Styela clava: one gene and its partner. The protein of the gene in region 1 interacts with the protein of each later gene in a pairwise test. Links are inferred from orthologs where the notes say so. Each region holds a gene or a part of one and is shown in the gene's direction. Other genes may lie near its edges.

Region 1 (16,641 bases):
TTGGTTATCTATCTAAAACACTACATGTATTATGTCTACAAATGCGTCACGACAAATACCAATTACCCACTTATGTAAGTCGTATTTGTGTCGATAACAAAGCAAAATACACTTATAACGCCCGACTTTTTGTCATTTCTTGAAATGCCAGTTATTTGAAAAATAACATTATCATGCAAATGCGTATTATGCTATCAATTACGTATTTGAACGTTTTAAATTACATGTGAATAAACTACATTGTCTCAATTTGTCCCCTCTTCTATTTTATCAGATTTGTTTTCTCCCTAAATGAGTTCTGTAGCTGATTTCCCAAGATATGTCGCTAATTTGCTCAGGAATTAAACCTATTCGCATTCAAGAAACGATAAGCAAGTTTACAATGGTCATAAATCGGTCGTCAAAACAATAATTTTATTCGTATCATAAATTTGGGCATTGACATATTCATTCTCAATACTGTAAACTACATCCAGGCACATTCACCTTGTACCACTATTTTTAGGTATATATCGATCTTCGTATTGTGAAGTTTTATTTAATTCATCATGAAAGATTTTTTCAATTTGACAGTAACGACTTTTTGTCTAAGTATTGCTTATCAGATGAACGTAAATTGTAATATCAAATTTTATCAAAATTCTGTGTTAAATTCTCAGTTATTTACCACCGAAAAGAATTAAATTTGAAACACTGATATATATAATACGTTTAATACATTTTGTAATCAATCGTTTCGTTATCCACCATAAATCTGCTCCACAGATAATTGAAATTGATCTACCAAAATAATGATTCCTAATTTATGATTGCTTTGGTATCGAAATTCTGTGTTAAATTCTCAGTTATTTACCACCGAAAAGAATTAAATTTGAAACACTGATATATATAATACGTTTAATACATTTTGTAATCAATCGTTTTGTTATCCACCATAAATCTGCTCCACAGATAATTGAAATTGATCTACCAAAATAATGATTCCTAATTTATGATTGCTTTGGTTTCATTAAAAAAAAAACAGAAATTGAACGCATCCATAAACGGTCTTAGCCAATGATAGTATATTATGGGATTCTTACTAAAAAATTTGGTTTTATTAATTGCTTTCAAATATGTGACCTTCTTCAAAGGCCAATGCGCTTTTCAAGAACTCTTTCATGTTATATTTTGCCATGGGCGATGAGTATATATAAACACATAGAAGCGTGCAAGCTTGCTAACAGTTTCACTTTGCAACAACCCTTGCCAGAAATATTTTTTTGTTACTCTGACGGATATAAAAACTTACTTCATAAGGTCTACATCGCCGAACAACTCCTTTCGCGTTACAATCTTCATTTGATATTGACGACGAACATATTAAACAAGTAGTAGCTGCAGCAAATGAAAAGTTGCATAAATCGTTCATTAGGATTTGCATATGTTTGAAACCTTTCTAGAAGTTATAGTCAAAACTCAATTATTTAACCTTCAGTACTAATCTGGAATATTTTGGATACAGCCCACGACCATAAATGTCTCTAGCAGAAAGTTTCAACAATTATGTTCCAGCAGTTTTATCCCAAATTTTTCCGGTTCGATTGTTTTCTTTGTTTATTTTTTCCGAGATTGCTTTTGTGTATTTACCAATATTCTACATTTGATAAAAATGGCAAATCCTCCCTCAAAGTGGTATTCTAGTATGGTAATTCTAGAATTTAAAATATGCATAACCACAAGGAATTTAAAACCAAAACCACGCTAAACTATCCGGAGGAAGTACAGATTCCTATCTGTGGCAAAAGGTTTGTTATTGTAAAACAGTTTTGCCCGCCACATACAGTTGTACTTTAGTAATGTTATGGAGGCAAATACCTTTAATACCACGTAACTCTAAACAGGCACATTGTCATCTTAAAAAATGATCCATTTCTACTATTTGTTTTTACAACACTAACAACATATAATTAGTACAATGTGACGGCCATTATAAACACTCAAACTGTCACCTTACTTAAATGTCATTTTGAATATAAAGAGATCGCGTATAAGAAACGGGAAATGAAGTCGAAGGTCACGTGATAAGGGTCAAATTATTGACGTAATAATTCCATTAACATATTCAGGTTAATTGATATTTATTTAATTTATAGAATTGTTCAAGCATTTATTTCACCACCGTGTTTAATATTCAATGTAAGTCTTGCATTTACATACGTAATAACTGCAGTAAAAACTATAAAATTTAAAACTGTATTTAATATTCTAGCAAATTATGTAAAACATACTATAAGAAGTGTATGCTTTGCAGTCATATATATATTTCATTCTGGTTCCACTTGTATCAAATCATGAGAATCATCAAGTTTTTACATTCAAGCAAATATATACATGTTTTTTGACTGGATTTTCATTTTAATATTCGAGACCTTCTGGTAAATAACGCATTCAACATAATGACTATTTTTCTATAAACAATTAGTAGAAAAAAAAAACTTCACTTACCTATGCAATAAGGAATCACCACATACAGAATTGATATGATTTTGATCATATGTCGTTTTAACATTATTTATTATATTTATTGTACATGAGTTAGATGAGTAATGCTTTAAATAGTTATCTGTAAAGCAGAAAGCGAAACGTTAAAAAGCAAAGGATTTTAAACCTTCATATTTCCTATCCGAATGGGCAAGGTTTAAATAAACGAAAAAAGATATATATATTGACATACATTGGTGCAATGACATTGTAACATTTGATGCGTTACATAAAATAAAATATTATTATATTGATTAAATTCCTTGCATTATATATATGACCTAATATTCCGCTCAGAGGTAAACGTTTAAGGTCAAATCCTGAAACTGAGTAGAACTGCTCAGAACTATAGTATCTAACTGCTCAGAGACATGAAACTATCTGCCCTCACGAAATATTAGCTATAAATAAGGATACACAAAATTTCGCTTGTACTTTTATAACGCGAGTACGCAATTTTACGTATAATGAGGCGTCAATGACCATCGAATTATGAAGTCACGTGACAGTACTTGATTTCAAATGAATAGAATTTATTCGAAGTCACTAGTTCTCAAATCCGAGTAAAACCTACGATTCGTTTTGTTTTTCTAAAATGTTGATCGCTTACCTTTGCCATGTTTTAATTTAAAAAAAGACACATGTTGTAAGCTACAACTGATTACGTAGGAAATGTGCATAACTTCATGCGCCTGCAGCTAGTTTGTGCATGTTCTATTCATTTCAATATTAATTATGTGTTTAATCTCACTTTCAGGTTGCATTCCGGTGGTTGTAGCCTGCTGTATCAGATATTTGATATATAAGCATTACAGCATGCGACCATCTCGTATAAGAATTCTTACATCGTTGATAATTTCCACCAAACGTCTATTTAAGCATATATTCACGTTATTCAAATCACGTGTAAGTTATCGAAGCCTCACAACAGCAAATTATGATTTTTATCTCCGAATTGCCTTTTCTAAAATTTCTTGCAATTATTAGGCACAAATGTGACGCCTCGATTACGTACTTGACTGGTAATACATATGACGGCGCTTGACACAATTTTTTCAATTTTAAGAATATTTCGCCAAAAATGATTTTACTAATATTTTTTGTTTGCAGTTAGGATTTATGGACTCATATCGCTCCACACTGTCTAGGCGTTAGATTGACTAACTTTTGCATTAACTTATAAACGGAACAGCAAAGGAGCAAAATTTCGACATCAGAAGTTTGGCCGTGAAATAAATAGCTGCCATATTATTACTTATTAACGATCTAATAACAAAGCGTGCTTTTTCCATTCCCTGCAATATTATGCCGAACAAAAGTGAGTGAAGCATTATATACCTGACACATTTACCAAGTATATATATCTTATATTTTTAGTTTTACCATACTGCTAATATATATTTCAATATATACAATTTTTAGATTATTATATCTAGCAGCTATTTACAATCAACCTTTCAGTACCCAATTTTTCTTCGTAATTGATATTAAGTTATAGGGAGAAACAGCTCACCACATTGGATGCGCTGGGGAAATTTTCTAAACTGCATAATAACGTACGGGAAGGTGAAAAGGCGAGATGAAAGCCACCTTGCCCAAGGCTAATTTTGTATGTATAAACGTCAGATTACAAAACGTTCATCATTACTAATTTTTCAAATATATTTATATCATCTACCCAAAATTGATCTAGCTTGGGCTAATTGAAAACAAATTTTTAAATTTATGAAATATATTTTTATGTTTGGACAACCGCATTGTGGTGATAATAAGTTTTACGTCACAGGCTAGAGAGAAAACTCGTGGAAAGCTTATCGTAGTTGCAATCAGCAAAACATGACTTTCTGACAGGGTTTCATCCCGACTGCCGGTTACAAATACGTCTGAGACACATTCCTTAATCACTTTGTAATAATTTTTATATTGGTAAAAGTGATTTTAATAAACTATGTCATCATTATTCTATTTGTCGACTAAACCGTAATTACATGTTGCTTAAAACCCACCTTTTCAGGGCACCGTTAACACGCGCGCTTTCGGCAACTGTGCTTTGTCACAGTAATGTTACAGAATAAGACAGCCATATTTGTGGTCTAAAAATGCTTCCAGATATTATCGCACGCGCGGAGAAGTATTCTAATATCTAATAGCCTGTCCTCACTTTCGGTACTTTTATACGCCCAACTAAATAAATATGCGTATTCCATGCAATTTACAATCAAAGACCGGAGTCGATTAATTACTTTTCTGTGTAAACAAGAACTTGAATGCGTCAAAGCATGACCAGGCACGAAAAACGATACATCAATTTTTTTTACATGCGTATTAATTTGGCAAAAGTGTTTAACGAAAATATTATCGATCACACATTTTACCGCCAAAATATTTGGACAAAAATATAGCTTGTTCATTGTTATTACCAGACACGCTAACTTTTGACTTCTATTCCAACTCAACAATCTTATTTTTTTGTCATAAATTTATTTTCTTCCGTTATTGATCGGGTAAATTTCGAGAAATATTTTTTAGTATCGCGTTTTTCTAGCTTGAAATAAATATCCCAAAAACTTCGAAAGAGATTTATAAATTTCATATTTGACCAGGAATTTCTTATCGTTTGTCGCCAAATCTATACCAATTATATATTCTCGTTTACCATTCCTAAACTGGAACGTAATTTAAATTTTACTAAATTGCACTTTTTACTGATTCCCACACCTAGATTTGATATCGCCATAATTATTGTGTTGTTTGCTAATCATGGTTATTTTTATTACCGCAGATACTAGGTGGATAACTACTGTTTTTAACGGCATTCTGTTTTGAACCTACGTATACTGTTTATATGCTTGTTGGCGTCAAGTTATTGATAAAATGCTTGATAGCACTATCTCGGTATGCTTGAAAATAACAAACGAATTCTCTTGCATCTTATGTTAAAAAATCGAAGCCCGTCACGATAAAAAAATACGAGACGAAGGGGCGCAACTCGACACGTATGTCGATTTTTAAAATACCACGTAAATATAACTAAAGTAACGGTATTGGTATTAGTTTTATTTATTTCAAAAATTTCTATGGACTCTATGGGATTCGTTTGTTTTATGTGATGAAGTCACAAAGTTGAAAAACGCGCCCCTCGTGGAAGTTTTTGGTTCGCGATCGTTGCGATCTGGGGGTCAATCGAAGTCGGGTGCTGTAGTAAAACATTTCATACTCGTAATACTTCATTTTGGTTTTCGTGTCCATATGTTTTAGCATTGCGCTCTTGAATATTGATTAGGTATTTCTATTGTTAAATGACAATGATGCAACTTGAGATATCCGGATTTAAATTTTTTATATCCCTTTTTCGCATGTAGACCATTGATAACAAAATAAATAAAGAAACATAACTAAAACCTCATCATCTTCATTAAAACCGTAAACTACTAAACAAGTGAATGTATAATACAAGCAAGCTCGAATCATCTCCAAGATAACCTGAATAAGTTGAAAGCCTAAATGGTGTTATCGCGTTTCCCGAAAAAAAGACTGGGTCTTAATTCAATTATCTTCCGAAAAATAACACTAGAGCTTATTTTGGGCCGATGTCTTTTATTTTCATTTATCAAAAACAAAATTACAATGTAGCAAATTACGAGATTTTCAAACATACAAAATATGAAAACCGATATCCATTTACTTATAAATAAAACGACTTCATTTAAAATAACTGCTAAACATAGAATATTATTCCTTTAATACGAGTAGGAAAGATTTCTTGCTATCGAAGCTTTGTGTTCATATATTTGATCATTGTACTCTTGTTTAATAATATGCTAGAAAATTTTTCAAAATGATTTAATGCCAGATTTACTCAATGAAACATTTACGTGGTCCACGTAACTCATAGTTACCATGTACAACTTCTTATTTGTACTTGACATTTTGTGCATCCTGTGGAAAATGGAAAAATAAGTAAATAGGCCGCATTCAATAAAAAAGGATGTGATTCTGATTCAGATATCTAAATTCGTCGTGCCTCGTCGAATGACAATGTCTTCCATTTCGGCATAACTTAAAACGTGCTACCGTGTTTCCCCGAAAATAAGACCTAGTCAATAACGCGAAATAGTATTTTGACCCAGTCGATAACAAGAAATCTCTCCTACACGTTTTAAATCAGTGGTTCTCAACTTTTTTCCTGTTAACTACCCCCGAGTCATGAAATATTCAACACAAACCCCCAGTATAATCAGACACTAAACAAAGTTGTAATATATTGACTAACAATTTTTAAATTGTGTTTTAAAGCAGTGGTTACCAACCGCTGGTCCGCGGGCCGGCACCGGACGCTTTTTTTCGGTCTGCGAGAAATCTTGTTGTTTTTCTGCCATCTCAATCGCTTTACCGAACCCGAAATAACGACGTTGCGTTTGTTTATTACAAACAATTTCTCTTCCGCCGACATATTGATGTTTGCGGTATTAATGGCCCGACGACGTCATGGCGCCGAGTAATCATACTTTTTGCTTTTTCGGTTCCGATTCATCGCGAAAGCGTCCGTCAAATCTCGCAAGATTCAAAAACCCAAAGATCGGCACAAGTGTTTTTTTGTTCTACATTCTTTTTCTGCTTAATATGAACATCCAATTAAAAGGTTATGAATACTTTGTTCAAACCAGGAAACAGGGCAATATAATATTCCAGGGCTTCGTCTTGACATCCAGTAAAATATGAGCTGGTCACAAGACGTGCAACAAAAGCATGGGCCGTTGAGATCTTTTCTAGGTGATGCACAGCAGGGCAGGGAACCTGGTGCCAAGTTACCGACGACGTTGTCATCTTAATGTAAATTTTGTTTGAGGCGTTGAATAACTGCAGAGGGCTCAATATGAGATCAGTTGACCGACAAAGCATTTTGATATTTTGTAACAAGAAGGATGACAATGGGTCTTCTTTTGGACAAAGTTTGATCCAATCATTTCAATTTTTGGCCAGCGCATTATTTGTTTTTATTCATGCGAAATGTTTTCAAGTGTGTCTTTTGTTACCTAGAAGCATAGTGAGTGCCCGACATTGCATTACATTTTGCAAATATATGTTATTATTTTTTCTATTCAATTCATTTCAATTTTTTTGCCGATCCGCAAGTAAATTTTGTTTAATTTTACCGGTCCGTCAGAAACGAAACCACTGTTTTAAATGATATTAAACAAAATTATTCATTTCATTTATACAGAACATTGGTGTGAAGGATGTCCCTGTTTATTGCAAATATTGCACTTTGAGATTTCACAGTTTTGCTGCAAAGCTGTGGATTTCATATTGTTGAGTAAAAACAACGCAAGATCAGGAAAAATCCACGCGAGTTCCAATCGGCACGCATTTTCCTCTGATAGTAAAGGACATAAAAAATAGCAACACATGAAAGCTGCCATTCAAGTACCCCTGGAAATCTTCTCGTGAACCCCTGGGGGTTTGCGAACTCCAGGTTGAGAACCCCTGTTTTAAATGATTGATAATCTATGTTTTGCAGTTATTTTGAATAAAAACGTGTTTTTTATAAGTGAATGGATATCGGTTTTCATATTTTGTATATTTGACAATCTTGTAACTCCCTACCTTGTAATCTAGTTTTCGATAAATGAAAATATAAGACACCCCATGAAAAAAAAACCTAGTGTTATTTTTCGAGAGAAGAAAATTGAAATAAGACCCAGTCTTATTTTCGGGAAACGCGTCGGTAGTACGCGCCACCTACCAATAAAATAATCGAGTTGCACAAACACAAAAGGTCGAACGCGAACAGTACTTACTATACCGAATAATTTGAATTATTCAGAATTAGAATAAAATTGAGTATAAGAATAGGGAAAATAGTTTCCGCATATTGTGGTCAAAAGACGCAAAGTAATAGCCCTCGAGTGATTTCTTCAATAATTCGATACTGAAAAATCAATCTGTCCACTATTTAAAGAGTAAACTTATTTTTTCTCAGTAACAAAAAATAGCATAACGATTCTCAGGATTTAATCGTTCCAAGAAAAAAAACAAACAGAGGTGATGTTCGCGAAAACATACGTTTTATTAGGGTTAAAGGTCGTACAGATGAGGTTAAAGTTCAAAGCACATGTGTTGTGTACTGTTTTTTGGGGATGGGATATACAGATAAATATTACCGGTACCGTACTGTATTCTGGTACGGTATTAGAGTTCTTTTGAAAACGCCTTTCAATATAATATCAGAACCGGTACTACGTTTTAAACTTTTCTTGAGGTTTTGTGTGCTCTCCTGATTTATTGTGCAGTTTTATTTATTTTGTTTTTATCAATTATGTTATCGTCTTACTCTTTTATGATAATTATGAAGTCGAAATAAACTTCAGTGTATCACTGATACTATCAGTAGGCTACTTGTAATAAAGTAAATTCAAGTCTAAATTCTGAGTCTGTTGGTAGGTCACTTACATGTGAAAATCAGTTGAAGATTGCATGTAGGTTATATATTTGTGTTCTATTCATATTTTGGTATTATAGTCCAGTACAGTACTGCAATACATAATTTATACAAAATGAAAAAGGGACATAAACGAAAACATTCATCAGCTTCAGCGAAAATTCGGAAACAAAAAATTGCAAAACTTGCAGAAGAAACAGAAAATGATAAAGAAGAAGTACCAAATGAACTTAACGAGATGAAGCCTTTAGTTGAAAAGGTATGTACTTCGATAAATATGAACCTATTAATTTTAAATTGTCCTGGTCAGTTAGTTGTGTAAAAGTTTTAAAATTAAGAATCGTGTATTGTTGCTTAAAATGCTTAATCAAATTTTCTATATCGCTGGTTTTATTTATTTCAGGGGAAATGGAGAAACAAACAAAGGGTTTTGGTATTCACATCAAGAGGAACAAGCTATAAAGCTCGATATTTTATTAAAGATTTACAGAATTTAATGCCTCACTCCAAAACAGGTAAACAAGATTACAAATTGCTTATCAAACAGTTTTATTAGTTTATATACCGTAAAAGCGCCTAATTTCGGACAAAATTACTATATTTTCGTCAATAACTCGGCCATTTATTGTCCAAACGGTGCCAAAATTGCTCGGTAAAACATTCGTGCGGTAATTTACATTCCCTGCAAATTTCGGTTCAATTGGACTACTTTTACTATTGAAATAATCGATATTTCTTGCCATCTGACCGTTATCCTTCACTGCCCTAACTTCGGACAGTCATTTTCTTCACTGCGCAACCGCGACGCACAGAGAGAAAGAGGCTTCCGATGCGGATGACGTAATCACGTCGTTGCGTGAAGATAAGACGCTCGATCGTCGTCGTAACGTAACATTGACGTCACGACGAAAATGCATTATTTGAAACTTCCGTCGTCCTATGTTTACATCTTTCGTTCGTTATTTTCGATACTTCAGATGAGTATAATAACACGTTAGTTATTTTAATCAGGAAATGCATACGTAAATATATCTGATGCAAACCGTTTCAATCCACAATGAAGTATTTTAACGGGCTTCTATCGAAGTCTTTGAAGTATTAATATTCTCGACAGACAGCTTTTTTTTATTCTGCGCGGTTATCTTTATAAATGATAATTTATATCAAACACACGGAAAATCCGATTGTGAAGTTTAATTTAAAATTCAACTTAATCTTGTAAACATGTAGGTTCCGTTTATTTGTTGGAGATTAAATTTATTTTTAATTTCGAGTGAATAAAATTCACCCAGGCCGTATTCAATAACTGTCATTTCGACTACTAATCATAAAATAATGGTTGAGACTGTGCCATATGGACGTTGGAATTTCCATAGTTTTATATATTCGATTTTTAACGTCATCGATTAAGTGTGACATGTATTTTCATTAATGTAATTTTGGCATATATTCATACATGGCCGAACAAAATACAAAAATATTACATTGGAACGCCGTCTTTATCTTAACGGAAATTGTCATATTGGCTCCGTTGTGTCTGGCGTCAAAATTCATTTCCGCGACGCAGTGTGACGTCGTGTCGGAAGTGAGCGAAAAATAATCTACGTGAGGTTGACGTAATTTTTGACGCTGCGTGAAATCTTAATATTCTTACGGAATTTATAATTCAGAATTTTAGGTTTTATTTAAATCTCGTACGACATCTTGCGATCACTCAAATAAATTATATACATTGTTGTCGCCCTCTACCGAATGATGGTATTTCGACGATGATAGCTTCAGTAGGAGCGACGCTCTGCGCCGTTGAATGGCGGGCAGTCAATTTTCGGCAAAATTTCCGTTTTTTTACCAAAAAAATAATTATGCAACATTAAAAAAGATGAGAATAGATGTAGATATAACAGCGCAACCTATAATAATTAAAATTAGCAATATACGGCGCGTTTTAGCCAAGATATGGCCGTTCAAAAATTTTGTCCGAAGTTAGGAACTGTCCGAAGTTAGGCGCTTTTACGGTACGGTACTTTCCTGTGTCTCGCTACATTGACCATTTGTAAAATAAGAATCATCTTTTTTTTAACGTTGTAACAAATTTCAAAAATAGGACCACAAATATAAGAACTGGCACCATACAACAATGAATAGGATCGAATACTAACTTTGTTCTGTTCTCTTTTCCCATGTTTATATGACCTTATTCAGCCCAGCTCGGCGTATTTTTTCTTTGTTCTTTATTTATGAAGTCCTGCCCAGTTTTCAGTAGAACCAACCATCGCCATACTTTCTATAGTAACCAGCTGTCCCGTTAACTGATTATGCGGAAAGAAGTTAGCAACATGCAATTGAGTTCATCCCACCTCTCTCGTTATTATGGATATAAATTATAAATTTCTTTCAGATGTTAAAATGGACAGAAAAGGACAGCTTCAGCTTGTCAATGAAATATGTGAAATGAAAAACTGCAACAAATGTATATTTTTAGTTGGTAAAAAGAAGAAAGATCTTTATATGTGGATGTCAAATGTTCCACACGGGCCATCAGCACTTTTTCATGTTGAATATTGTAAGTTTTTTTTTATCTTTGTGGAAAAAGAAAAGAAAAGAGAAAGAGCATTGTGTAATTTCATCATTTTATTTTTACAGTAAATATGATGAAAGAATTGAAATTTACAGGAAATTGTTTGAAAGGTTCAAGACCAGTTTTGTGTTTTGATAAGGTATCGTATTTCCCTTACTTTGCTTCATCTACAATAGCACTTCCATATAGACATAATGCGATCTAACTGAATAGCGGTGGCCTAGCAGATCAAGTATTAGACTTAACTATGATGGAATCGGAGGTTGAAATCTCTAGTTTAAATCCCATCCCCTATACCTCAAATTGGGTGGGCAAATGCGAACCGTAAAGAATCCGATCTTCCCAAAATAAAGTGGCACATTACATATCAGTATCTTCATGTAGAGAGCCTTTCAGTTCAGAACCAAAGTCGTGAATAAACATCATATAAACAAAATAGTAGTCATTTTAAAGTATTGCATTTGTACAAGTACTTTTAGTCCTAGTATAAGTCCTTCTAATTCAAATCTTATGAGTTATCAATGTCTTTTTGTTCATTTGTTTTTCTGCTCTTTCAGACATTTGATGATGAACCACACAATCGTTTATTGAAAGAACTGTTTACGCAAATATTCGGAACACCAAGATATCATCCGAAAAGCCAGCCATTTGTTGATCATGTTATTTCTTTAAGTTTGCTAGATGGTCGTATCTGGTTTCGCAATTACCAAATTGTTGGAGAGAATGGTGACCTGGTTGAAATTGGTAAGAAACTTGTATGACTTAAGTGCCGTGCAGTAAATAAAATTGATCAGAGGTAAAACTGTATTATAGCTTGTGAACTGTGATGTTCGTACAACAGTGAAGGTTATGTTACTTAGTTAAGGTGGGTGATGCCTGAAACTGGGCTTTGAAGGCAAAAATTTACATCTGAAATAATTTTGACTGGAAAATTTTCTTTTAGGGTTGTAAACAATTTTAACACCTTTCCGAACTACCAAGAGAGTCGAATTTAAATGAATTTTGGCACATGTATACCTTCTTTGAAAAACCAATGGAAATGCTCAGCGAATTTATGATTTTTTGTCTGAAATTTTGTGTTTCATCCCATTGAAAAAGTCTGTAATTCTGACTCAATGACTTCGCAGAGTCAAAAATATGACTCTTATTCCAGTGAAAGTGTGCCCTGAGCCACTCTGTGACACTGCATGCAGTTTACATGTTTATGTCAAGACCCCAAGGTCTAATCCCTATTGGAAAGTTGTTCTTATACAGGACAAAATATCGATTTTCTGACTTCAATCTTTATTCAAATATAATATATCAATTTTTACAGGGCCAAGGTTCACAATGATTCTTGCAAAAATTCTGAGTGGAAGCTTTGGAGGACCAGTCTTGTATATAAACCCGGACTATACATCTCCTAATGTTGTAAGTTGGTGTGAATTATGGTTTCTGTCATTGTAAAAATTAGAATGGATTAAACAAGTCTCTCTGCATTTCAGATGCGGAGAATGCTGAAAAAGAAGTCCCAGGCAAGGTACACTGGTAAACAATTGACTGTCCAAGCCCGGAAAGAGACTCGCTCAAAATATGAGAAAACTTTTCCTACTGATGATACAGACACGGTATTTGATACTCATGGAACTGGCTGATGGCAATATTTTTTGTTATGTTGAAAGTATGCTTGCGGATGCACTGTTTGTCTACCAGCGCATTTAGTTGGTCCCACAGAATCGTGTGCAAAATTGCTGCCTCTCTCTGCATGGTATTTTGATGATAGTGACATATTATTGAGTATGGCATCACGCCGTTCTACAATATAAAATGTACAGGCAATTTGAGAGTTTTGTTTTTGATAAATAATGGTGGGGATTTCTGTAACGATTAGCGATTCTGATGCAAAGGTCTAATTCTACTGGAACAATTTTAACTTCTAGATTGATAGGCTAGACTTGGGAGCTTAAAACATTGATTCAATAGCTGTTTGAAGACTTCATAGCGATGTAATTTCATGTGTCAACGTTCATGAACCACAAGGATTTTTGGAGGGTTTCTGGAATTTCTAATTACCAAAAATGTGGATTTTCAGGGAATTTAAGGCATGAAAAATTGCTATGTATGATAGAGAAAAATTCTTTTTTTTTTTCGTTTCAAAAGCCGAACCTTAAAACCTTGCCTCTGATCACAGTTACCACCCAATCTCTTTAAAACAAGCACAATCGTTTCCAGTGAGAAACAAATGTAACTCATATCTTGGATGACATGCATTTAAACCACATAGCTGTTCAACTGAAATTTCAGTACCGAATGTCAGACACTCACTCCTTTTACAGCAAACAGAAACTGTTCCAGTCATACAGCAAGTTAGCCCAAACTGTTCTGGTATCTTTTTATAAAATGTCGGTAAGCGATGTAAACAAAGATCTCATTCTTGTAAAATGTAGTCTGTACCCAAGCTCTTTATTTAAATACCTTGGAACAGTAAGACAAACTCTTACAATACAGCTACAAATAGACTCTTTAGTTGACGATTGTAACAAGACCTAGCTGTTAATGAACAACTCTACTAGACTCATTCTGTCTATGATAAACATCTTTTTACTGCAAGAGGCTTTAATAAGAAAATCCTTTATTACAAAACAGACTGACAAAAAGTGTGACATTGCATTTAAATCCCCAGTTCAACATAACAGAAGGCAGCATTGGGTCTAATGACCACAACTTAAGTATCAGTCTTCTGATGTATTCATATCATATAAACATAACAGACTGAAAAAAGTGTGACACTGTAATTTAACCCCTTGGTTTAACAAATCGATCTTTGAGACAAAACCATAACTAGGTATTTAGATTCAAGTCTCCTGATGTAATCGTTAGAGTAGGCATCCCAAACCTATGATTGATAGTTTCAAACGTTCGCACTTTTCAACACTTGCTCTAATTCCAGTCGACGTTGTTGCACCTTCGTGTAAAAGTATCGTGTAACAGCTTCTTGTGACCAATGTGCAAAATAATGATCAGCATGTCTTTCTTCTTCTTTACTGCCCATAACATCAGTCATTGTCTTCAAGTCTCTGCACTGAGATTCAAGCCAATCGCCAATGAATTCCTGTGATATTAGGATAATTGATATTGTGAAACAAGGTTCTGAAATTGTTGGCTAAATAAAGATCAAAATTTTGGTGTTTTTGACATTCTTAGATTCACAAAATAATTGGTTATGATTAGACAAACTGGAGAAAAGTGAGTAAATACTCTTTGCTCGTATATGTAATCATATGCACTCAATGCAAAACATGCAGCAAATAGGATTTAGAAAGCGGTTCGAATGAAGAAAATCACTCTCTCACGTTGCTATATTCAAGATTGCTATATATTTTCATTGTGAAATGTTAAACAGATATGTCATCATACCTGTGGATTGTCAGAAAATCCCATGTAGAATTCTCTTTGTATTCTATGTTGTTGTACGCTGCTAACAGTATCAGTAATCTTTCTTTCTAATTCTGCTATTTCTTGTTGACTCGAAGATGACAGAAGAAATGAACTCATTTGAGTCTTTAGTGTATCATCAACTTCAACCTAGTAAAATAAATGATAAAAATACCAGATTTCCATAATTTTCGACTGTTTGATCAATCAAAATGGTGTCAATCAAACGGGAACAAACTATCACATATTAATATACAGATTGGTTATAAAGTATGTTAATGAGTTTTATTTTCAATCAGTGTTTATTCAAGTTTTTCCACTTCATTCAATGTACCTGCAGAGGCCATATATATACATTATATATGATATAGATAAATTGCAATTCAAAATATTTTATGTACTTTATTTTTCTTAACTCTTTTGTTCCGTATAACATATATATTCGTACTACCATCCTTGGTCATAATAGTTATTTTCGGACTATTTTACGTTTATGTTCATGTTTTGTGAAGTATTCCGCACTAACTAAATCATTTTGAGCATCCAACTATGATCCGTGCTTGATCTGTCAACATTTTGTTTTTTTGTAAATTTTTTATTTTACTACTAAGTGAATTTTATTTGTGTAGGTATTTCAAAGCTTAGAGATACACGAAAGTATTTGTCATTACTTCAAAAATAAGTCATTTGAACGAGCGGGAAACAATTTCGCGCACATAATAAACAAACAAAGATTCCAGACAACTATTGTGGACATGCTCTCACATATCATTGATTATTTCGCGTTTCGCTTCGCTTGCGAAGCTGAGTCCGGTTTTTCTTCAAAGGTGACGTAACTCTCTTTCAGAAGAGCGCTTGGAATTTCGTTTCTTTGTAACACGTGTTCATCGAAGCGATAAGAGTGTGAAACGTTCTCTCAAAAATTTTTGAAATTTCTCTCTTCTTACACGCGTAGGGTCGAACGGTTTCGCCTACGTCACTTGGGCGCGTTTTAGTAGGAAGACGCGAAAATAAGCTTTTTAAAGAGATATTGGGGGTGTTCCTTGTACGTTTGGTTAACTGGTCATTACATATTATAAAATGGTACATAAAGTCGATTGTATACAGCGGAAAAAAAGGGTTAAGAAATATACGCAGTAAAACAGTTTTTGGTACTTTTTTCTATGAATAAATACAGACTTGATAACTATAATCCAAAAATATATATTGCATAAAACTTATTAAAATGTTTATCATAAAATTACCTCAATATCATAGCAAGACTGTTTCTTTGCATCTGCTGGATCAACACTAATAACATGATGAATAACGATTGGGTCTGGTGGATGAAGTAACGGTCCAAGTAGCCGTGGAATGTCAGCAAAACGAATACGACGTTCTCCTAATATAGGTCCAAGATATCCATCACAATTGATGAATTCTCTCTCATGCTCATCCTAAATTAAATATAAAAAAGATTATTATTTAGAAATTGTGATGTCCTAATTAATCCTATATAGTAGCATTAAATTCAAACATTCTCCTGTGGCAGATAAATTTCATGATGAAATGCGGACTAAAGTCTTAAAAAAGTAATACAAAGTCATTCACTGAAATGGCCATATTGCTCCATCAGCTTGATAAAAAATGGTAAATAAAATCATAGAATACCTGCAGTTTATGAGACTTGATATATTGCCACAAA
Region 2 (16,746 bases), on another chromosome or scaffold:
CGCACGGGATTAGTCGGGTAAGTAGACTGGCCACACGCAAGAAACACAAACGCTGAAATTTTTGAATGTTAATCAATTTGTTCGTGGTCGGCTTCAGGTCCTTGCAAATCCTATCTATTCTCAACGTAGATTTACATTCTCTACATTCAAACACTTTAGCTTCATAAATAAGGCGGCTTCCTACTGAAAGTTGTTTTTCCTGTGACTCAAACACCCAGTTTCCGTCCCACCTGGTTATTTAGCTAGCGTCGATATCATTGTATGATACGCAGTTCCAATCACACTAAGTCACGCATAGTTGGCAATAATACTGAACTTCAATCTAAGTGCCAATTCAGAGAAGCTTTTTAGGCAAAAGCTTTCATTTTGGTATTAACACTTGCGCAAGATTATTTTCGTCTAGCTATGACTGAGCGTATTATAATACAAACAAATTGTGCGCTAGGTATGAGTCAGCACTTCTTATCGATGCTCGTACGATCATTCGTGATTTATGCGAGAAATATTTATGTCGCTTCAGTGCAGGCCAAGTGTGAGTCGCATCAAACCCACGTGAAGCAATCATTTCAGATTGAATCAAATGCCACCGCTTCTTTGTATACTTTGTATATTTAAAAAGCGAAGTCATCATGAAAATGTACGTCCAAATTCTTTGGGTGGTTGACTATCCAAACTTGACTTTTATTTAAAAATTCCGAAACAATAATTAGGACTGGGCATTTCGAATCGAATATGAAATTATCGGAATCGGTTCAGAGCGAAATTTCGAATGTCCGCCATCTTGTTTTTTTTTTCCGCCATTGGTCGAGGTGAATTTCTCAAATTTTTTTTATTGAAGCCACACTTTTTCAACGCAATTCAGACATATGACTCTTTTCTGTATTGAGGTATTGATGAAAACGCGTTTTTTATTGTGTGTGAACGCTCAGCAATCTGCCTGAGTAATGTATTCTATGTTTTCGGTAATTTATGTGTCTGGGGGACTTATTCAATAAGAAAGTTATATATATACAATTTTATTACAGTATTCGAGATTCGATTCGAAAAAATTATTCGATTCGATTCTGAAATGATCTGGTATTCGAAAATGCCCAGCCCTAGCAATAATATAGCTGAAGTAATTATGTGAGTACAGTATTTATAAGACAAGAACAAAAGATATCACTCATATAAAGAACATTGAATGCCTAAACGTACTTCTGTACGTACTAATTACTGTTGCATCAAAGCATCTATCTAATCAATATAATAATAGAAAAAGTAATAGGCGAGGGGACGTAATTTCACATTTTAGTGCATTGTTCCACATGAATGTGAAGTCTACTCTTGTATGGAAATTCGAGGATGGCTAAGCTCCAACATTATTTATCAAGTTGAACAACCTACAAATCAGTTACAAACGAGTTTTTGTGTTGGTTTTTAGGTATATATACACATATATATATTCTCCATTAACGATTTTTAACGAAATTGGATCAATAGTATTCTCAATACAATCACTAACATTTCATGAATGATCATCAATTCAACATTTCTATTTAATGAATGAGTGATTCTTGATGCATTCTACGTTCTCCACTAACATTTCATGAAAGATCATCAATTCTTTTTCATGAATGAGTGATTGTTGATGCATTCTTTATTCTCCACTAACATTTCATGAAATATCATCAATTCTATTTCATGAATGAGTGATTCTTGATGCATTCTACATTTTCCGTAATATAGAAGTAACACCGAATCACAAATAATCATAAAAGGCTCTTTCACTTCAAACCTTTCATATTCATTGGAAATCTCGGACTCGCATAACAGAAAACTCGATTATATTGCATATCTTATCAAATTGACGTCATCCTTGAATTGTATGGCTCTGATTTCAAAATCAACGTCATTCTTGATGGTAAGCGTCATCGGGCACACGCAATGTATTCTGGAGTTCCTAATGACTCATTTCTTGGATCTAAATTGCTCCTTATGATATTCATAAATGACCTTTAAATAATCCTGTATACAATTTACACATATTTATAATGACGACACAGGTCTTTCTTCTTATCCTGTTGTAAAGTCTAGTAACCAAAACCGTCCAAAAGTTATCGGCTGTGAGACGAGGCTCTGAAAAACGCCAAGAAAATGAGTTTTGTAGCGCACATACGGGAAACTAACTACTTGGAAATAAATATAAAATGTTCCTTAGAAATTTAGTAACAACTAATACCTTGTTCGTATTCCCAAAAGTTGCACGTTTTACGAAAAAGACGCTTTTACTACAAGAAATATGCGCTACGATCTACCCTATATTCTCTACTTTTCCGGCAACATTGGCCAATGAACGCAGACTTCTGTATGACGTAACAATTAAAATTTGATCAGCTGTCCGCATGCGAATGAATCTCAGTTTGTAGCCCTTCCATCGTCATTTTTAGTTTTTGGACACGTTAGTGCACATAACGATCGTTTCAATATTAGGTTGTTGTTGGACACGTAGTGGACATAACGATCGTTTCAATATTATGTTGTTGTTGTTCTTGTTCTTGTTGTTGTTCTTGTTCTTTGACACGTTTCTAAAAAGTCGCTTTTCTCTTCGAATACTGGACCAATTGCTTTGAAATTTTCAGTGGTTGAAGATTAATTTTTTCGCTAGAAGGCTATTACTTTTGTTTATTCTTAAATTTTATATGAATCCTATGAGATATGATATTTCATACAAAATTTCGCGGTATTTATTTTTACTCATGGGAACACTGTTTTACACTTATTTCAAGCGGTTTCGCGATCGATTGTCTTGCTCAGTACTACAGCTACTGTAGGTCGGTACTGGTAAGTTGCCATACCGGTGCCGTAACGCAGTGAAATTGACTTATTCCTTCCGCGGTATTACTAATGCTGCAATGCAAGTTTTATAGCCTATCGTATGCGGAACGGAATATCAGACCTACAGGTTCGGTACCGGTACTGGTAGCTCAGTACGTAAGTACGATACTGGTACTGGTGCCGGTACCGGTGTCTTACCACAATGAAATTACCGTAACTTATTCTTTCACTGTCCTACCAGTGCAGTAATGCAAGCGTTGTAGCACTTGTAGCCTAGGCTACTATATTTGTTTATTTTGATGAGAGTCTACTGGAAACAACATAAAATTTGAAAGGGAAGAATTGTTCTGTGATCAATTATCTGTCCTAAAGTGTAAATAACATAAAATTTGCAAGGGAACAACTGTTCTGTGATCAATTACCGTATATGGCCTACAGTGTACAGGTAAGATGCTGGCTGACTGCTAACCGGTACTGGTAGCTCAGTACGTAAGTACGATACTGGTACTGGTGCCGGTACCGGTGTCTTACCACAATGAAATTACCGTAACTTATTCTTTCACGGTCCTACCAGTGCAGTAATGCAAGCGTTGTAGCACTTGTAGCCTACTATATTTGTTTATTTTGATGAGAGTCTACTGGAAACAACATAAAATTTGAAAGGGAAGAATTGTTCTGTGATCAATTATCTGTCCTAAAGTGTAAACAACATAAAATTTGCAAGGGAACAACTGTTCTGTGATCAATTACCGTATATGGCCTACAGTGTACAGGTAAGATGCTGCCTGACTGCTAACTCAGTACCGCTTGACACGTTTTTAAAAAGTCGCTTTTCTCTTCGAATACTGGACCAATTGCTTTGAAATTTTTAGTGGTTAAAGATAAAAATTTTCTCCAGAAGGCTATTACTTCTTTTTTCGCTATGACGTCATCAAAATTATGTGACTCTACGTGTCCATATATTTGAGCATAGCTCTCTTGTTGTTCTTATTCTTGTTTTTTGACACGTTATGAAAAAGTCGCTTTTCTCTTTCATTACCGGACCAATTTCTTTGAAATTTTCAGTGGTTGAGGATGGAATTTTTCTCCAGAAGGCTATTACTTTTATTTATCTCTAAATTTTGTATGAATTCTATAAAATCTGTTATTTCATACAAAATTTAAGTGTATAATATATTATGGGAACACTGTTTTTAACCTGCCGAGCGTGACGGCGCATTCTGAAAATTCTTGCTACTCAAAACTCGGAAGTTTTATGAGGTTACCGGTGATACTAAAGGTACGGTGAACCGTACCGTACTGCTTCGCTTGGTGTCAATATATTTGTACACTGTGGTATCTGCTGTTATAATACCATGATAAATCGAATAAGTGGGTTTTTTCAATTCATGTTGAAACGAAATCGCCACAGGATCTGCAAATTTCGGTCTGGTCTATCTGTCTCGCAAAGGAGAAGCGACTGACATGACAAGTATACTGGTAAGCATACTTATGTAAGTAAGCTGTCCGTCAGCCCTAAAAGGCTATGACAGTCACTGTACCAAAATTTGTACTCCGATTCAGGTGTTGTTAAATTGACGCATATTATTTTGTAACGTTTTTTATGTGAAATGTTTGACTGTGGTTCGGTACCTATCCGGTAATACATAATTAACTCATATCACGAGATATTTTAATTATTGTTTCAATATAATCAAGAAGATTGGATCATTGTCACAGGACCGAAAAAAAACTATGACTGTTCCTGTACCGTCACGGTATCCCGATACAGGTACTGTTAAGTCACCGCATAGGATTTTTGGGTAATTGTTTTGCGTGTCCATATATTTGAGCATTGATCTTCTGTATTAGTTAAGTTATACTAAGCCGGTGTTAAAAAGTATAAGTAAGTTATTAAACACTTGTATATCCATACCATGAATATAGGACATGAGAAGAGGCCTTGAAAACGACCAGAAAATTAGTTTTGTAGCGCACACCTGGTAATTAAATAAATAAAGTTTTGTATGAAAATGAACATACTGAACGCATTCCAGCTTGCTCCACAATCCTGATGCAAAATTGAACATAAGGGGATTCCCAGATAATCAATGACCATAGGTTTACAGCAACACAGCATAGGAGCTATGCAATTCAAGAACCCTGCTGCACACTAACACAAATGTATTTCTGTAACGTTTTGTCTAACAAAATCAGACTTCCTCAGACAGCAGTTTACAACAAAGAACAGCATAAGAAGTTGCATTTATTTTATAGTTAAGCTATCAAACGTATTCATTTTTAAGCAATAAAGTCACAAATTAACATCGTGAGCACAAAAACACAAATAAATCGGTTATTACTCAGAGAAATCTACCGGAAAAGTCAAGAAAATCAAATGAATACAGTATGTACATAACATAGTGAACATCAATATTACAATTAGTTTTTTTTTTCAGTTTGGTGGTTGTGCATTTGAAACAAAGGCGATATTATTTATAGAAACAGGACCTACGACACTAACAGATATCTGAAGAAAAAAAATAATGAAAAATATTTATTAACTTCAATATCTAATTCACTTTCCTCTGAATTGCTTCCGAAATCCTCATTCTCGAAAATCGACTTTCCTCTATAAATGTACTGTGGTTTTTGCAGTCAATGCAAAAATCTGTGCAATTTAGGTTGTTTTTGGCACACATGAATAAATTATTTTGACATCAATTTTTCTTACCCTTGCAATTTGCCATCTCAAGAATCGATTTGGGGGCTGGAAGTAGATCCATCAATTCTAGGCAACAATGATGAAGTCCTGCCTGGTACTTTGCCCTCAGGACATGCTTCTTCAGTGAATCATTGTTGGGAGGAAAAGTATAATCCATATTTTTGCCAATTTTCAAAAGACTTGGTATCATTTACATTTTTCATATTCTCTTCTTACAGTGAACAAACAAATTACTCATCTTTATGTATTAATGACTCGTCTATCTCATAGGATCTTCATAGTTGAGGAAAACATGAATTGAAAAACTCAATGAAGTTCTCCAACATCAGTTTGATGGGCAGTTTCAATTGCAGAAATGTGCCAAAGTTTTCAATATGAATAGCCCATCTAAGCTGTTTGCAACTGTCATCTTCTCATATACCTTTACGCTTTTCTTCAAGACTTCTTGTTCGGTTCATTTTATTCTTACAGGTATAGCGCTGATAGCAGCCCGGATTAGAGCCTGCGTTAGGTTGGATTGGTGGAACATTGCCGTTTTCGTTTGTTGTACAGTATCTAAAATGAGGAAGAAAATCATATTTGGAACAGCATGTAAAAATACCGCTAAATACTGACTGATACTTTTCATACATAATGCATTTTATCTGATGCACTACAGTCCTGCAGTGTTTGCATACTAGACTACATCTACACTGAATCTCGATATATCACAGTCTGAAATGCCTAATAGACTATATTTTAAAACATCTACTGTCTGTCTACAACTTGATTTCACACCTCTCAATCGCTTCTAATGCTACTTTTCGTTCAACTCCGGCATAACTTATCATTGCTTCCCAGGTTCTTGTCGACTCGAATGAATTTAGACAAACTGACATCAGTAAAATTGATTATTTTCCCGTCCTTCACACAAACGCGCATTACAGAAACAGCGCCTTTTCCGTAAAACGTGCAACTTTCGGAAATGGAAACAAGTCATTATTTGTTACTAACTTTCTAGGGAACTTCCTAAAATCAGTTTCAGGTAGTTCCCTTATGTGCGCTGCGAAACTGAAAGATAAACGGCCTCTTCTCGCTATTAGTTGATAGCGGACTTGCTTTGTGTTTCTAATCAATACTTTTTAAACTCTAAAAAATTATACCAAGTCTTGTAGATCAATTGATATTGATACAGTCCCAATGCCGAGATAAATACTTTCTCTAAATAAACTAATGTTGTCTCATGGATGAATAAATAATGTATGTAGCTTGGAATTTTGTGATTGAAAGTTAAACCTTCTTACCGAGCTTGTCCATTTGTTTATTGAGTGTATACTTCAGTAGTATAAATCACTGCTGATATTATTTTTATATAATGTACTCTTCTTTGACTTTTGAATATGTCTCTCGAGGAAAATTTTTGAGTTGTCGTAGGCTACTCAGTTGGCTGTGAGGCCTAGCCTTGTTTGCAAGAACTTTAGTTATGTGCCATTTACTTTCGCGTACCGGTAGTTATTATCCCGATCGTTGTCCATCGGTAGTTGCTGCACCATTATTTACAGATCTCCGCGAGATGGCGTGCATGATTACAAAATGGCGGCGCCCATATCCCTTTCGTGCTTCTGCAAGAAACAACCGTAGCAGAAGTGGCTAAACTTGATGGATGCGGTATTTGGTTATCATATAACTGTATAACTGTAGTCATATAGCTGTATAATGTCAATTTTATGGGAGTAATGCAGGGATGTGGCAGAGCGTAATGCAAATGAGATCCAGGCTTAGGTTTCCAGCCGACTACCGGTACTGCTGTACTGTACTACAAGTCGGGAGGCGAACAACTGTTAGTTACTGTACACGGACAACTCGACTACAAGAGAGGTCTGGTGAATTGCAGAATTGTCCGTATTTTCGCATTTTCTACGGCGAAGTTTTACAGTTTAAAGACTACCGGTATAGGCAGATAGGAGTGTAATTTCGATCTTTTCAAGGCTCCAACGTCGAGAAAAACACATTAATATTCTCTAGAAGGGATTTGGCTCAGTGTTAACTTTTGCTCATGTCAGCATGTTGTATAAATACAGTCTACAGACGAAACTGGGGCTGTCTGTTGTAACACTAGCGAAGACTGCTGACGTTATAGGACTGTGTGCGTGTAAATTTTTGAATTTTATTGATATTGGATGTTTTGAATGCGTATTTTCAAACATTTAAACCTTTATACATGACTGTAACACATATATATATATTTACGAATGTGAGCTTCGTAGCCTGTACTTGATACATTCCCAGTTGTGCTTCTTGATCTTTTGTAGAAAGCCCCCTTCACTAATGCAAAAAATGTGAGATTTGAGAAAAAAACGCCATGCTTTAAGTAAAAAAATTATCAATTATCCAGTTAGGGTTCGAGTAAGGAATGATTTGCAAATTTGAATTTCCGCGTACGGCACACTATCCAAATTCCAAGAATGTCCAGTCATTTGGTTCAATAAAACAAACACTCCAGGTGTCTCACAAACGAGGGTCGTCTGGCACAACGGCAGATACGTCATATTGCACCATGCTTGTCTTGATAATAATCTAAATGAATCGCAGCCGTCACGTGACCAAAATTGCAGTTTTTTGTTCATAACTCTCAAATGCCACTATAGAAAAAATTTTCCTTTGGTAAATCGCATTATTTTTCCCGAGGAATTCAATGATGACGATTTTAGATTGCACTTTTTTGCGCAACTTCAATTTACTGTAGTTTTACCGATATTGAGGGACAACCATGTTCAGACGTTCCCCGAAGGAGGGTCGTCTAATCATCTGTAAAATGGGTATCCCGAAACGACACAATGTTGCTCGATCTGTATAGTGTGCCGTACGGTTCCCAGCGCAATCTGTATTCCTAACCCTAACTGGATAATTACTAATTTTTTTTTAAAACGTGGTGGGGGATGGTTTTTTTGATGAGTGCTTTTTACTAAAGATCTATAATTCTGTGTCACAGTCAAAGTTGCTTTGCAGACCTCACTTCGTCTTTAGGAACCAATGTTCTGAGCGCTTGGAATACACTCACCAACGCATCTCTGATTACTCTGCATGGGTTTGCGAGTTTGAGTCCTGTGGAAATAACTATGTGTGAGAGAATCAAGTTCATGCATTTGGAACAAATTATTGGCTAACTAATTCCTTACACGACCTGAACCTGACGAGAGGCCGTGGTTCACCATATGATTAAGCCATCTTATCACAACTTATTATACGTTCCGTTTATTATCAGGTTGTTTAAAATAAATCGTGTGATTACTTTTCATCTCTTCAAATTCATATAAATACTGAAATAAGATGTCAGAAGAGGAAAATTATCCATCAAGTGAGGAAGAAAGTGAAGAAGATGAATTGCATCATCCAAGATTGGCAGAAGATGATTCTGATGATTCAGACAGAGAGGTGAATATATCTAATAAGTTTTTTAATTAAAATATGTCGCAAAAGACTGAAATTTATAATTCGATAATTACGATCATATTATTAATTACGATTGTATTATGACAAATAATATGCCATTGTGATGTCGAAATCTGTTGGACTTATATTATAACAATCAAATCCATTTTATATTTACATTTCTAGTTACAAGTTGCCTACAAAAGTGGTTTGCTTAAACCAGGCTTATATTCAGAAGCGAAACCTGAGCGGCCAGCTGTCAATAATGTGGTAAGTTAACGAATTCAGTATTAAATTTTGACATCAGCAATGTTTTCATTTGATTGAAATGACTAAATTTTCCAATAATTCTGGAGTTATTACTTTTATTCTAGGATGGGATTCTGGAGAAATTAGAAGAAATTGAACAGAAAGATATGGATTGGTTAGAGAGGCTTGATATAACAGTAGAAAGAAGATCAAGTATGTGCTTAGCGCTAAACTATTGTATCCTACAAACTTTTTCGAAACTGGGATTCTAGGAATACCCAATTCGTCACTGCTAAAAAGTATTAATTAAAATGTTTTGGCTCTTGCTTTAAGAACTACAGATCTATTGATAATGATAATTTGAAATATTACTACCAAAATGGCAAAAGATAGTCCCAATACAGATGAAATTTCCTATACTCTTCATTGCTTTGCTGCACCTCCACTCATTTATTATTGTACTCATTAACAGTGTTAAGCAATATTGGTGAAGTCAAAATATGGTATATTTATTTGTACCAAGATCAACAATATAACAACAGCTTGTTAAACTTTCTAGTTATGTATTGCCAATATTCATTCCTTGTTGCTCAGTGGTGTGGTGCATCGTTGACCCCTGCACCTCTGATTACCCTACGTGGGTTTTCATTTTTTAATTCTGTGAGGATTAATTATGTGCAAAAGAATTGCTGGACTCCTCACCGCCATAGGGGGTTAGCGTAACTGCTTGGTTGGTTATGGCTTCCTCTGCCATCAAGTCGATGCATCTGAACGAATAACTGATCTCATACAGGACACGGCCGTGGTATGCCATATGATTACGCCGTCTTATCACCATCTCTCATCCCCAGAAATCCAAGATAAATATGTAAATCCTGCATTTATTACAGAAACTGATGAAATGTTTGAAGAGGGATTAAGTGCTGCTGAAGCTCAGGCACAGGCACAAAGCAGACTATTTACTGTTCACAATGACTTTAAACGGGAACTCATGTTTCTAACACAAGCAAAAGATGCTGTATTAAAGGCAATTCCTCTACTGAAAATTGCTAATATTTCCACTGTAAGACCAGAGGATTATTTTGCTGAGATGGCTAAAAAAGATGATCACATGAAAAAGGTACAGCATTGTGATATGTACTTTTTGCTTTTGTGCATTTGACACATGGGAAAAATACTTTTTAAAAAGAAATTTTCATCCCAAAAATATTAGCACACTTACAAGATAATCGTATCTTTTCAGCTTTTTGACATATTTAGACTACTTGACTGTCAAATTAAATTGTGATTGATGGCCTGTTAATAATGTTACCATTTGTCATGTAGTGATATTTTTTACATCCAGGTTCGTCAAAAACTTCTGAGTTTACAACGACGTAAAGAATCTGCAGAAAAATATAGAAATCAACTGAAGTTAAAGAAATATGGAAAGAAAGTGCAGCAAGCTGTTGAACTAGAGCGAAAGAAAAAGAAAAGGGAAATTTTAGACAGTGTGAAAAAATTTCGAAAAGGTTTGAAATAAACAATGTTATAAAAAGGAATATGTGCATATGAATAACCTAATTCCAGCCAGAGTTCTCTTTCAGTATTTGCTCACAAATTTCCATGTTGCTTTTTTAATATTCAATGGCATGGATTATTTTGTTGCATTGCAACAAATTTTAATGAAAAAACTGACTTCTAGGCATTATTCTTAATTTTGTTATCATTGAAAACTTGGAATCACAAGCATATAATTGTAGTCTGGTTCATTCCATTCCCGTTAAGTAGATCAGGACTACTCAACTATTTTCATCGAAGATCCGCATACAAAACTTCAAAATCATTTGGGTCTGGTCTTTCCAGAAATTATATTCGGCATCCTTATTCGCACACTAATGATTATTAGCTAATCAAGATTGTTTATTATGGTGTTATAGTTCTTTACATATATATTCAAAACTATAAAAGTCATTTCATAAAAGGGAACTTCAAAAGTGGGGCTAATGATGCAAAATAAAGAATTAGGTGCGGCTTGAATCAAATACTCGAAAGGTTCGGACTGCGGTCTGCCAGTTGAGTAGCCTTAAAGTGGACTATATTATATTGTAAGGCCCATGTTATGACATGACGCACTAATAACATATTGTCACTTGAGCTTTTTTGAGAAATACTTGTGGCCATCACCCAATGCTTAGCTATATTAAACTATTTTCAGGGAAAACAGACAGCATGGATTTTCTGGATGATGAGAGGGAAGTAAAACCTGGCAAGAAATCTCAACTACAAAAAGTCGAACAACAAAGGTAAGGTATCTAATATCTATATGACATGATAAAGAAGAAGTATAAGTATTTTTATAAATATGAATCCTATTTTTTTCACAAAATTCAGTTTTATTTCACAGGCTGTTTAGGAGGCCATGATTTTCATTCATGATTGTTTTCACGGTAATCTTTGTTACCTGGATGCTAAGTCCAATTGTCATTTTCCTGTGTGAATTCCTCCAGGCTTTGGTATAAATGAAATTGCGGTGCTTGATGTTCAAAATACAGGGTTTGTTGAATTTTGCTTATAAAATTTAAAGATAATGTTGTTTCATTGCAGAAAGAAAAGCAGAACCTTTCGTAATAAAAAATTTGGTTTTGGTGGTAAGAAGAAAGGAATGAAATCAAATACTGTGAAAAGTGTGAATGATGTTTCAGGGTTCAAACAACCCAGAGTGAGTTCTTTTTTTGCTTTTATTCTGCTTTTTTTCATTTGTAGAAGGCTACGTATTATCACTGATTTCAGTTTGAAATTAAAAAAAATTCCGTCCAGTAGGATGTGAAATTGGCTATTTTTTATGTAAAATTTGCTATTTTCAGTGTGAAATCATTATGCTATGCAATTAATTTTAAAGTATACTTCTGTAACAGCGAACTATAGGGACATTGGCATCCCTTAATTATATTTTGTGTGATGATAGAATAACGAGTATGAAGTGGATAAATGAAAAAAGTTTATAGATTAGATTTATTTTTTTAAGTTTTTTTTTTATTATTAGTAGTGTTAATTAGAACAATAGAACAATACCAAAATTCAGCTACCTAACAATGTTTATTTTATAGGGTAAAAAGAATTTTAACAACAAACGACCTGGTAAAGGTAAAAGACAACAGATGAAAAATAGGAACAAATGATAACAATTGCGAAGAAGTGATATGCTGTAACCTAGCGAATAAATTTGTTCAATAATAACTAGTGAAGTATGACGATTGAAAAAACGTTGCGACTGAGGTGAAGAAGCGTGTACAAATCATCCCACCTATAGCTAAAAAAACAGTTTCAGCTGTAAAAAGCTGTTGTATGGAATAAATAGGAGAATTTCTGTACAGACGACAATTGTAACGATAATCAACTTATTTGCAATCATATTTGTCATTTACAATGTGTGTTGTCACATAGTCCATTTTCAATCGATTTTGTTATTTTCTTATGGTGACTTGTGGTTGTACAATTTACAAAATATTGACTGATCAATTGTTAGGAAAGTCTTGGATGGAGAAAATCAAAAACTGCTTGTGATGAATTTCTAATATAGAATATCAGCTCTTGGAGTTTTGTATTTATGCATTTTCTGGTTGTTGGTTGCAAATTTTCTGTTTGAATGAACGACTGTAAAAACAAGCACAAAGGCAATCTAATGCTCATAAAATATCCTTAAACTAGGCCTATGTGGGGCAGCCATAATCTACATTATTTGATCGTCCTACAGTCAAACCAGTAAGCCAAGGTTGCTGAACAATTTTAACTTATTTACAAACTACAACGAAACGAGCGCCATTCTCTGCAAAAATAAAGCGCTATCTAAAACAAATTACCGAAACTATCCCTGTCTAAGCGAGACATGTCTGGGCAAGCAATTGCCACGAAGACCCTCTCAATTGTTTCGTAACAAAGTGTGTGGAAGGACACTGTCAATCATGAGAAATTACGGCGTCAACAATAACAAATAAACGAGAATATCGGTCGGAGACCGAAGACTTATCGATCTTAGATCGGTAAATAGTTAATAACTCGCTAATTATACGACATAATTAACCCATTATTATTATACCCATTAATTGATAGGCGTCTGGTCCGAGGTAAGGTGCATGCACATGCAAAATTTGGAGCAGATTCAATTACGCGTTCGTGAGATATCGCGTTCATCTAACAGACACACACACACACAGACATACATACAAATACCTATCAATATACTTACCGATCTTAAGATCGATAAGTAATTAGTACACAAGTTAAACGGACGCAATGTTTAAGTCAATACAAAAAATCAAGTGAATGCGATTCTCGATGTAACAATAAGGAACATTGCTCACTACGCAAGTCTATTTGGAAATTGAAAACAATGAAGTAGACCAAAGCAGCATTAAGTCGTCCTGTAACCTAAAACATGACGTCATAATACACTTTCCTAGTCGCGGGCGACGGGTCTTTTGCTTTTAAATTAGAAAACACCTATTTAGAGATTAAAAAATTCAATAACTAGCACTACACACATTTGTGCTTCGGAGAGATGTTGATAGTTTTTTCTCAAAGATGTGAAAAAATCCTAAAGACTGAGATGCTATGATGTCACATATTTAGGTATACATCCGAAATAACTCTAAAATCTGACTTTTTTACTATTTCTGACAAAGATTGGAAAAAAGATTTATCAAATATCTTTATCTGATGCCTGAAGTTTATGTTCATTTACTTGGTCTGTCGAATATTGTCGGTCTCGGAAACACAACGAAAATATTGCATAACGACAAATATCGAATATTTATAGGAGGAATAAATTCAAAAAATGTGTTGGGCATGACTCTAATTTTCACATTTATAAACTCGTTTGATCCATTTTCCCGAGAACTAATGTCTGTTATAGTGTTTGGGCGAGGAGAAGATTATTATTACCGGAGTGGGCACCAAGTAAAATATTAATAATTCATTTGAACGACATCATGTTTGATCAGACAGGAATATCGTTTTCAACAGCCACACATGGCTGAAATCAAGTCAGTGTATGTTTAAATTGATAAATATCACGCGATGCTCTGTGATCTTGTAAAACGCCTCATATCACGTGATCATATAAACCCACGTGATCGTCGCTTGTTCAAGCTCGTACGAGTCACAGCTAAACTCTATTTCCAAAATTGTGTATTATGCCGTCATGTTTTTGGTTACATGACGACTTAATACAGCTTTAAACTCCTTACTTGTTTTCAATTTCCAAATCGACTTGCGTAGAAAGCAATGTTCCTGATAACTGCAATTCTGTATAATGAACAAAAATGTAGAAATCCAATTATGATGTCATAATAAATTTCGTGAAAAGTTAAACGTTCCTTAAACGTCATAATGCATTTCTAAAACAACAATATGACGTCGTAATGAATTTTTGCAATATGTACAATACAGAATATTATATCGTCACACATTTTTCAATTATAAATGCCCCTCTCCCTTCAGAAATTCTTGGTACGCCACTACTGGTATCCTACGCGCATTAAACGTGTACCCAAATAGTCTCATTGATATATATAAAATGGTATTTTACGATAAAAACTAAATCAGATTATCCAAGATAGGTTAAAGGTAGGCATAAAATTTTTAACGATGTACGTTTGTTAAGACTATATAGTGAGTTTTCTGAGTCTGTAGACCAACTTGTGTTCGATTCGTAGCAGAATTAAATTTGCAAAACTTGTTATCGTCTTTGACTCATCCTGTACTGCTTGTGTTGAATTAGGTCTTTACACTTTTCGTCGCTCATGACTTAATTGCACCGCCCACAAATTCAGAGAACGTCACTTCTCGAATAGTTTTCAATGCTTCTTCGTATTTTCGCAGGCCTGCAAGATTTTTAAAACATATCACGAAAACAATCATCAAAATGGCTACAAGAAAGCACTATCTTGTGGTCACATGGTACGAATGGCCGTGGCGTGGATGCAATTGTACGTGGCGATATATGTTCAGGGGTACAATGAGTGGGTGTAAATGTCCATCGGTACGAATGTTCATGAGTGCTAATATCCGTGGGTGACTTGTGCTTATTCATTAAAATGATGACTTATAATTGTATATATATACAGTGGTAGATTCAATTTTTTTGTCAGCCGGTTCCTTCACAGAAGTCATATTTTTTGAGCCAGTTCTGTTACAAACAGAAAATTGACAGTAACCAGTAATTCTAACCGGTTCGCTGATCTCATAAAATTCCGTGAGGCGCTTCTATAGAACCGGTGCGAACCGGCTGGATCCCATCACTGTATATATATATATGACTGTTTCTCAAATTTTACATGCCACGGTGAAATCTTTTGCTATATACACTATACTCATAATGTACATCCGATTCTTTGAAAAAAGTTAACAATAGTCGTCCTAGTTAGCGACACATAAAAAAAATACTACATTGAATTCCGTGGAAATGGCCTAATCAAATTCTGATAATCGATGCCAATTAAACTGATGATAATGACATCCACATATAGAAATTTTCAATCCGTGATATGAAAGAAAGCTTGGGATTAACCTTTAACTGTATTTCTATTCAAATTTGATATCATTAAAATTCCATACGCTATGGATATATCCTGAAATATATATTGGAAAATTGGTTTGATTTCCGCTAGTCGATTATTTTTTGGTGAAAGTTGGAAGTTCGTGAACGGTATTTGGTAAATTCAATTGAAGGATATTCTATTCATCATCTTTATAAGAGATATTATGGGCCATATTGGCGGATGTAGGAGATCCAAATCACATTTTTGTTGGAAATAGAGTTTAGCTGTGACTCGTACGAGTTTGAACAAGCGACACGATCGCTTCCTAATTATCAGCCAATCACATGGGTTTCTATGAACACGTGATATGAGGCGTTTTACAAGATCACAGAGCATCGCGTGATATTTATCAATGTAAACATACACTGACTTGATTTCAGCCATGTGTGGCTGTTAAAAACGATATTCCTGTCTGATCAAACATTATGTCGTTGAAATGAATTACTAATATTTTACTTGGTGCCCACTCCGGTTATAATAATCTTCTCCTCGCCCAAACACGATAACAGAGACTAGTTCTCGGGAAAATGGATCAAACAAGTTTATAAATGTGAAAATTAGAGTCATGCTCAACACATTTTTTGAATTTATTCTTCCTATTCATATTCGAAATTTGTCGTTATGCAATATTTTCGTTGTGTTTCCGAGACCGACAGTATTCGCCAGACCAAGTAAATGAACATAAACTTCAGGCATCAGATAAAGATATTTGATAAATCTTTCAAAACTTTATTCCAATCTTTGTCAGGAACAGTAAAAAAATCAGATTTTAGAGTTATTTCGGATATATACCTGAATATGTGACATCATAGCATCTCAGTCTTTAGGATTTTTTCACATCTTTGAGAAAAAACTATCAACATCTCTCCGAAGCACAAATGTGTGTAGTGCTAGTTATTGAATTTTTTAATCTCTAAATAGGTATTTTCTAATTTACGAGCAGAAGACCCGTCGCCCGCGAATAGGAACGTGTATTATGACGTC

What was found.
Region 2: the proteins of ribosome biogenesis protein BRX1 homolog (region 1) and putative rRNA-processing protein EBP2 interact in binary tests that used the Drosophila melanogaster proteins (3 or more experiments, as listed by UniProt). The link is inferred for Styela clava from reciprocal best matches to the Drosophila melanogaster genes CG11583 and CG1542.

What each region holds. Positions count from the first base shown.
Region 1 is NC_135250.1:7,874,962-7,891,602, reverse strand, and holds ribosome biogenesis protein BRX1 homolog, read left to right. Parts: upstream 1-9,010; 5' UTR 9,011-9,080; coding exon 9,081-9,224; intron 9,225-9,368; coding exon 9,369-9,480; intron 9,481-11,363; coding exon 11,364-11,528; intron 11,529-11,608; coding exon 11,609-11,682; intron 11,683-12,100; coding exon 12,101-12,287; intron 12,288-12,858; coding exon 12,859-12,953; intron 12,954-13,027; coding exon 13,028-13,177; 3' UTR 13,178-13,361; downstream 13,362-16,641. Other genes in the region: complement receptor type 1-like, read right to left, coding at 1,292-1,377, 2,488-2,551; SWI/SNF-related matrix-associated actin-dependent regulator of chromatin subfamily D member 1-like, read right to left, coding at 14,434-14,634, 14,940-15,107, 16,202-16,393, 16,608-16,641. UniProt on the Drosophila melanogaster protein: Required for biogenesis of the 60S ribosomal subunit.
Region 2 is NC_135259.1:3,401,650-3,418,395, reverse strand, and holds putative rRNA-processing protein EBP2, read left to right. Parts: upstream 1-8,741; 5' UTR 8,742-8,830; coding exon 8,831-8,935; intron 8,936-9,118; coding exon 9,119-9,202; intron 9,203-9,306; coding exon 9,307-9,394; intron 9,395-10,071; coding exon 10,072-10,301; intron 10,302-10,526; coding exon 10,527-10,692; intron 10,693-11,378; coding exon 11,379-11,466; intron 11,467-11,767; coding exon 11,768-11,882; intron 11,883-12,270; coding exon 12,271-12,342; 3' UTR 12,343-12,759; downstream 12,760-16,746. UniProt on the Drosophila melanogaster protein: Required for the processing of the 27S pre-rRNA.